Linked DNA regions of Caenorhabditis elegans. The protein of the gene in region 2 interacts with the protein of the main gene of each other region in a biochemical or structural test. Each region holds a gene or a part of one and is shown on either strand. Other genes may lie near its edges. The genes, in order: let-363 and pgl-3.

What was found.
Region 1: of the proteins of pgl-3 (region 2) and let-363, one has a biochemical effect on the other in vitro, tested with the Caenorhabditis elegans proteins (one study listed by BioGRID).

What each region holds. Positions count from the first base shown.
Region 1 is NC_003279.8:5,244,060-5,247,978, reverse strand, and holds the start of let-363 (Target of rapamycin homolog), read right to left. Parts: upstream 2,237-3,919; 5' UTR 2,199-2,236; coding exon 2,076-2,198; intron 2,021-2,075; coding exon 1,920-2,020; intron 1,867-1,919; coding exon 1,572-1,866; intron 1,528-1,571; coding exon 1,198-1,527; intron 1,149-1,197; coding exon 937-1,148; intron 893-936; coding exon 832-892; intron 782-831; coding exon 609-781; intron 470-608; coding exon 356-469; intron 310-355; coding exon 12-309; intron 1-11. Other genes in the region: mrpl-47 (Large ribosomal subunit protein uL29m), read right to left, coding at 2,687-2,903, 2,952-3,073, 3,117-3,222, 3,273-3,437, 3,492-3,586. UniProt on the Caenorhabditis elegans protein: Serine/threonine-protein kinase that regulates the mRNA translation machinery, probably by modulating the activity of translation factors such as eIF-4G and eIF-2. It may have some protein kinase activity instead of lipid kinase activity.
Region 2 is NC_003283.11:4,754,031-4,757,949, reverse strand, and holds the start of pgl-3 (Guanyl-specific ribonuclease pgl-3), read right to left. Parts: upstream 1,966-3,919; 5' UTR 1,941-1,965; coding exon 1,824-1,940; intron 1,778-1,823; coding exon 1,631-1,777; coding exon of another isoform or gene 1,627-1,630; intron 1,586-1,626; coding exon 1,227-1,585; intron 1,180-1,226; coding exon 839-1,179; intron 793-838; coding exon 650-792; intron 600-649; coding exon 428-599; intron 385-427; coding exon 2-384; intron 1-1. Other genes in the region: hil-4 (Histone H1.4), read right to left, coding at 2,650-3,132, 3,319-3,597. UniProt on the Caenorhabditis elegans protein: Guanyl-specific endoribonuclease which cleaves the phosphodiester bond in single-stranded RNA between the 3'-guanylic residue and the 5'-OH residue of adjacent nucleotide, resulting in the formation of a corresponding 2',3'-cyclic phosphate intermediate.

The DNA.
Region 1 (3,919 bases), on a different chromosome or scaffold from region 2:
ACGAAACAAACCTGCAAAATAGCTTTAGGACTCGCAGGCCTTCCAATCGGTTCGGATTTTGGTGGAATTAGAGATCCAGTGAGTGTTTGATAGACAGAAGCCATAACACCATCTTGAACATTCAGCCGCAGTTTCGGAATTCTCATCATAATCATTTTTAGCACGTTTGCCAGCGATCGAGACAGGGTAATATCCATTAATTGTGGAATTATTGCCTTGATTTGTGTCGTCACTTGTTCGTGATAAGCATCCACAAATAGGAACAGGAATGTGAAATAATTATCGAGAACATCAGAATTCGTCGTTTTTCTACAAAATTTAACTATTAAAAAAAGTGTACTAATTTCAAATTTACTTGATAGCAGCAGAGATAAAACTGATTGTTTTCTCGATATGTGTGGCATGTACATCTGGATTCGAGAGCATCATCATTCCGATTGCTGGAGCAGCGACCGCATTTCTTTGAAGACTGAAAAAATTGAACATTATTGGAAATTTTGAATCACCATAATTTTTTTTGAGTCTCGTTACAAAATTCGTTTTTAGCGCATTTCGAGTCTATAAAAGCTAAAAGCCCATAAACATCAGTCCTCTTCCATTCTACGTACATAGTAAATGAAGTGTCGAATGAGATTGTTTGAAAAGTTCGATCACATTGTGGAAATGCACAAATTCTTGGTAGAAGCTGCATGAGAACTGTATTCAGGTAAATCGAGCTTTGCTGTTTCGTGGATGAAGTTTTGTTTGCGAGAGGTATTATCTGACGAACACAATCGAGTATCTGGAAAAAAACATAACAAATTTCGGGAAATGAAGAATTTCAGCTTTTACCTTCGGAAATCGTTCCAAAACCAGCTTTCGAGCAGTCACACTTTCCACAATAGTTTGTTGCCTTAAAAATACAAGTTTTTAAATAGATGAAAAAGAATCGATTACTTAGTTAGGACAAGCCATTCAACACCTTCTTCTTCGTCTTCTTTCAAAAACTTTTGTTTAATAAACTGTGAGGATTCACATCTGATGAGTTCGAATCGTTGATCAGAAATTCGAAGAAGTTCATTGAGAATCAGGGCGACGGCATGCCATCTATCCAAATCGTCCTTTTGCGATGGGTTTGGTTGACCTTCCAGTGCTTCATCGAAACATTTCTGGAATATAAAATCATTCTAACGAAAGATCAAAATTTTAATTGATCACCTTAAACCACTCAGTTTTATTCTTTGCTTCACGCTGTGAAACAATTGTCAAAACCACGTGTAATGCATCAATTCCGGCGATTCTTACAGCTGGATTCTTGTCTCTGACAGCGTTGAAGATATACTTGAAAAATAAGTTTACACGAAGAAAGAATGCTGTCGGTGTGGCCAGTGCGAGCTCACGAGAGAGGTGTGAAGCGGCGAGTCGACGAATTTGATCAATTTCCTGTTGATTTTTGGGTTGCTGACTATGTGGAACATTTTGACCAAGCCATTCGTGGCAATGATCAAGACAACGATCAACCAGCTCGGCCGCGTATGATTTACAAGTCTGCAAATGTTTAAAATTGGTTTAAAAAAAATTAAATTACTTACCGCAATCAGAAAAGCGAGAGCTTTTGAAGCCATCTTGACTGTATCTTCATCTAATCCATTTCCATTATTTAACATTTTCAGAAGATAATTCGCATATCGAATAACATTTCCAGAATGAGTTTCAGCTAAGCACACGATGAGATAGATACCGGCTCGTTTCTGATCGATATTTGAATTCGACTTCATACAATTATAAATTGCACTCTGAGAGGCTATATCTGTTCGTCCATCGATTGCATTCAGGAAAGCATCACTAAAAGTATTTGGCTCGTCTTTCAGCTCACTTCGAACATATCTGAGGAAAATAATATATTTAATTTATTGACTTTTATTTAAAAAAAAAACTACCTGCTGAGTTCTCGAGCAGCCTGTCGTTGATTTGCATCTCTATTTTCCGTAATTCGGCTCCGATATTGTGAAGCAAGAGCTCTTGCAGCATCAATCCCTTGCTGAAATATGATTTTTTTTTCCTTAAAAATTGTTTAAAGGAGAAGAAATACTAACTTTACGATGCCGCTCGTCAAATTCATTTGTAGCTGGAGCGGAGACTATTCGATTGGAAGTTGTGGCTGCTTTGTTCTGTCTATCGGCATTCATTTGAAAACTAATTCCGTGTTGTTGGAGCATTTTTCAAAGATGTTTCTGCCGATTTAGTGCATTGTGGGCTTAAAATTACGTTAAGAATAAAAAGTTATGAGAATGATCAGAAGCATAGAAAATCACTGGTTTTTTTCCGAAAATAAAATTATTTCCAGCTGAAATAATCAAGAAAGTGCTCAAAACTGGCCGTTTTCAGAAAAATATAGCTTGATAGTTCGATAATAGACAACTTTCAGGTAATTTTTTACCACTTTTTAAATTTTTTTCAGCTAAAAATTAGGTTTTTTTTCCTATGTAAATCAAGGGATTTTCAATGAAAAATATGAGAACAACACGGAGCCTTTTGTAATATCAGATAACTATGGGCTGACAAAACCCGTTGCATATTTCAAAATATCAAGAAAAAAGAACAATGGATATTCTTTGAAAAACTAAATAAACTGAGGAAGGAAGCAAAGCAAACAACATTTTTAAAAGCCTACTCGAAAACAAAAAAAATATCTAGAAACAACTTTTTATCGATTGAAAACTCGTGGAGCTCCTCTCTTGAATCTGTCCATGTCTTCTGTTCGTGCCGCTCGTCTCTTCTCATCATCCAATCTATCTCGATTTTTCATGAATTCTTTTTCCTGCCAAAGCTTCTGCATCACGTAGGCATCGTCGTCGAGATATGGAGTTTCGTATTCTTTCTGGCCGAGTTGAGGTGGTGCAAAGTGTTCTGTGGCTTGTTTTCTGGAACATATTTTTATTTTAAAAAAATTAATTTTATCAGGAACTCACTGATATGTAAATCCAGCGAATGAAGTGATTGTTCTCTTGCGTGGAGCCGCGGATTCTCCAGTTTCCAAACGGAAGACCGCATCATTTCGCTCGTGAACTACTGATTCTATACGATCCATTGTCTGAAATATATCATTTTGCATTTATTAAATTTTTAAAATATACCTCATGAACACGATCAAGTCTCTCTGGGTTTGGCATGTTCCGGGCACGTGAAGTGTGCGCTTTTTTCATCGTTATCAGCATATTTCGCTCCTTCAAGCACACATACCTTAAATTTAAATTTTTAATAAATTTAAAACCGAATTGCCATTAAATTACCAAAGCTTATGCAAATCTGAATTGCTTTTTAATCTCAGTTCTTCTGCTGTCCACGATCTGCCCGGCCGATGTTTCGGGCGGAGCTCTGCTTTTCCAAAATTCGCTTCATCATCGAAAAATTGTTTCATTGTACTGGAAAATCGTGTGTTGACGGCATTTTGTGATCTAAAAGAAGCAAAAATTAACTGGAATTCAACAAACTTCGATTTATCAACTAACCGAACAGCCGAAGACACCAAACTCGGTAAACTACGCCACATTGTAGATTTGAAGAACCTCAAAGAATGAAAATTGGTAAAATCAAAATTTTGCATATATAAAGAGCAAAATATTCAATAAAAACAAAAGAAAACATTAAAAAATAGAATATTTTGGAGAAAACCTTGCTGCCAAAAAATAATAAATGGGCGGCAAGTGCGCTCCACCGCACAATTGCCTCCCCCATAGCAGAGGTAATTCAAAAAATAGTTTTTTCTAGATAAAATTTCAATAGCAAGTTTTAATACTTTTAACATGGGTTTTCAGTAAAACATTGAATTAACTTCAAGTAATTATTTCTTGAAAAAATTCTTCGACAAAAAAGTTCATTTTAAGTCAGATATTAATTTTTGAAATTATGAAAACTTAGTTAATCTCCCAATAAATAA
Region 2 (3,919 bases):
CCGGTGGCAGAGCAACAGATTTTGTCGGAGAATCCCAACCATCGCTAGAAAATTGAACAGGTGAGGCAGTTGATGGAGTATTGTCATTCTTCTCCGCATTTAGTTTCTCCGGAATGACATCATGGGCAGCCACGGTAACACTTTCTCCGATGATCTTTGCAGAATTGAGCACATTCGCCAAGTCTGTTCCTTCACATGGAATCGTTTGACGACTGAATGGCATCTTTTCAACAGTTACTACTTGAGCTGCAGTAGAGACGGTGGTCGGTCCATTGGAAGTTGTGGTCTGTTTTGCAGTTGCAGAAGGTTCCGACGAACTGCTCTTCTCCAGAGATTCAATGATACGATTCACGTGATCTTTAGAATCCAGTCCTTGGGCGAACTCTGTAAAATTTATTCGATTAAAATAAGAAGCCTTTTTGCTTACTTTTGAAGCTATCAACAAGAAGATTCTTGGATTTTGGGCTTAGGAATTGAAGCTGATTGAGTGATTTCTTCTCACTCTCCGATCCGTAGAACTCTGTGATCCACAATGCAAATTGGAGAGCATTATTCACATTCTCGATGACAGTTTCGTTGTTCAACTCGCTTTGAGGGAGCTGAAAAAGGAAAATATTGATTATAAGTTCACGTGAAGGAATAATTTTACCAGTGGGATTGGTTGAGAAAAGCACTGCTCGAGAACAGAGATTCTGAACTTTTTCAGCAATTCAGCGATTGCTCTTCTTCTCCACGTGCTCTCCAAGTCTTCAGCGAGGCCAACAAACGCCCAATCCTCGAATGACTTCATGGCTGAAAAAGAAACTGTTCAAAGAAGTTTGCAATCTTTGTAACTAACATCCCAAAAAGACTTGAATGATATGGCTTGCGAGGAACACGGCACTTTTGAAAACACTCCGTTGCAATCCGGGAAACACTTCCGCTCGGACACTCGACGGCATCAACGATTGGATTGTCCTGGAAGCATCACGCTTTCCATCAGCAAGTGAGCGAACGACGAGGAAAATCAATTGATATCCTAGCTGAGATTTCAGGACGAGTGATTCATCATCCTCGACGGCGCTGGCTTCTTCGAAGCGAGCAACGATGTGGGATACAGCTTTTTCGATAGATTCTTCTTGTGGAGTTAACAGAAGTTGGGTGAATGGGTCCACAGAATCAATCTTCGGTCCCTCGATCCTGAAAAACACTCCTGAGACACACAACATTAAATCATGATAACCTACATCAGCTTCTTCAACAACGGCTTGCAGGCCTCAAACGCATCTGTGACGTTGTCACGGATGATTTCAATTTCTTCCTGGAGCTCCTCCGATGCAAATCCAAGCAGTTTTGCCAAGACATAGACGTCGAAATCAAGATCCAAGGCGCTCGACAGTTCCGAGAGCTCGACAAACTTCTCTTCCGCTTCTTCCGCACCGAGAACTTTGAGCAAGACTTGCAGAATCTTGGCGTCATTCGACTTCTTTAGCTTTGTTTTTCGGGCGAGCATCGAGATTTTCTTTTCATCATCGATGATTGGAGCCAAATCATGAGCTTGTCCAAGCTGACTCAGCTTCTCAGCGCCAGAATCGAACTTTGGTCGCTGAAATGAATTATTAATACAAGAACATTTCGGAATTAAACCAACGAAGTCATCCCCGAGAATAAGGCAAACGTCCATGCCAGCAGCAAGCACGTAGGCACTGGAGTCATTTGGCAGGATCATCTCCGCAATTTCTTCATTGCTTGGGCGTTTGTCGGTGGCTCCCAAGACGAAAGCTGCAAGCTTGTTCGCCTGTAAGAAGAATATTTAACAAAAATCCCAATAGTTACAGTCAAACCTGTGCTATGTTGTTGACCAACAGCTCGTCATTGCTCGCGAGGTAATGGGCGAGATGGGGGAAAAAGTAGGACTTAATCCCATCGACCTCCACAATTTGTCGTTTGTTTGCTTCCATGTGAACTTTTTAATCACGAATAACACTGAAATTTTACGTGTAAAATGTTTAAATTCACCAAATGATGATTGAAAATAAGAAACTTCGAGCAAAAACACACAAAAAACTTTTTAAAAAAATTGACTTCTAAATCATCGAAAAGTTCGTGGAGGCTTTTCCAGTCGGGACCCATCGCGTGGGAAAAGGCGTGCGCCTTTAAAAATTAAATCAGTTTTTCAAAAAAAAATCTAGAAAGTTCTCTGAAAGTACTTTTCATTACCGAATTCGAAATATTGCGAGTAAATTTAAACAGAATTTGTTGCTTTATTTGAAAAAAGATCTGAATATTGCAAAAATTGCAAGTTAAGCCGATAAGTTGTGTATTTTAAGAAATCGAGCTTGATCAGTCGAATGAACTTGATATACAATTTTTCCAGAAGGAAAACAACAAAAATTTCCAAACGGTGAAGAAGACTGTCTGCTAGATGTTCCGGGACTTTATCTATCTTTTCCCGCTGTGAACACTGTTCCGAAAATCTGAAAGGTTTTGAAAAGACGAGAAAACGCTGAAACTTTATGCAGTAATTGGTTCATTGATAGGAATTGGTTTGTCAAAGGAACAATAAATAATGATTAGATGCAAAAAAACCAGTATCTGGGACACCTACAAGAGGGAGAGATATAATACAATGGTGAGATCGAAATTAATTTGATTATTCACACAATGTGATTAGGCCTCTGGGGCGGCGGCGGGAGCTTTCTTGGCTGGCTTGGCAGCGGCCTTCTTTGGAGCGGCTTTCATGGATGAAGACTTGGCGATCTTCTTGACTGGAGACTTGGTGACCTTGTTGACTGGAGACTTGGCGATCTTCTTCGGCGACTTGACCTTCTTCACCTTGACTTCAGTCTTCTTGGCCTTGTCTCCAGCGGCGGCCTTCTTGGCGACGGTCGTCGTAGCCTTCTTCTCTCCAGTGGCGGCCTTCTTGGCGACGGTCGTCGTAGCCTTCTTCTCTCCAGTGGCGGCCTTCTTGGCGACGGTCGTCGTAGCCTTCTTCTCTCCAGTGGCGTCCTTCTTTGCTGCAGCTGGCGACTTGGCCACGGAGGCTGTCTTCTCGGCAAGACGGAACCGTCCGTTGGCTCCATTTCCGCTAGCCTGGACGAAGGCGTTACTTTCAAGCCCCTTGTTAAGAGCTTTGCGGAGGTGAGCGTTGATCTGAAAGAAAGGTAAATTTAGGGAACGTCATCTCTACATAGTTTTTTTTCTGCTTTTCTGTTCGGCAATTTATTATTTTAAGAATTTTTAGGTTAAAAATGAAGTTATTGTAATCAAAAACCTGGTCAAAATTTTTCAGAAAAATTGATTTGAATTTAGCTTTTCTGCTTTAAATAAAACACATACCTTGTTAGCCTGATCTCCAAGCGTGTATTTTGTAGTGATATACTTGAGAATTGCGGCTCTGGAAGGTCCTTTGCGGTCCTTGATGCTGCTGATGGCTTCGGTGACCATATTGATGAATGGTGGATGGGCGGCATCGGCCTTGACCATTGGCACCTTGGTAGTCTTGGCCTTCGTAGCTTTTGAAGCCTTCGTAGCTTTTGAAGCCTTCGTAGCTTTTGAAGCTTTCGTTGGGGCTGCTGGAGTTTCGGTGGTGTCGGCGGCAACGGCGACGTCAGACATTGTTGAACGGATGAGTAGTGGTCACTTGGAGAGTGAGTGTGAGAAATGAGCGCGCGCCATCCTTATATACTCGCGCTCTACCACCCTGTCGGGACACATCTTGTTTGGCGCCGAATGCGAAATGGCGCGAAACTTGAGGGCACTTGACTAAATCACGCATAACTTTCTCGGTTCTTTATGAAATTGAATTTTCTTTTCAGAATCTTAAAGATGAATAGTTTAGCAACAAATTAAGCCAACAATCGATAGAAATTACTCTCGAATTGATATAAATACAGGCATTTAAAGTTCTGAGAGATTTTTCAGTTGGACATTTACCATT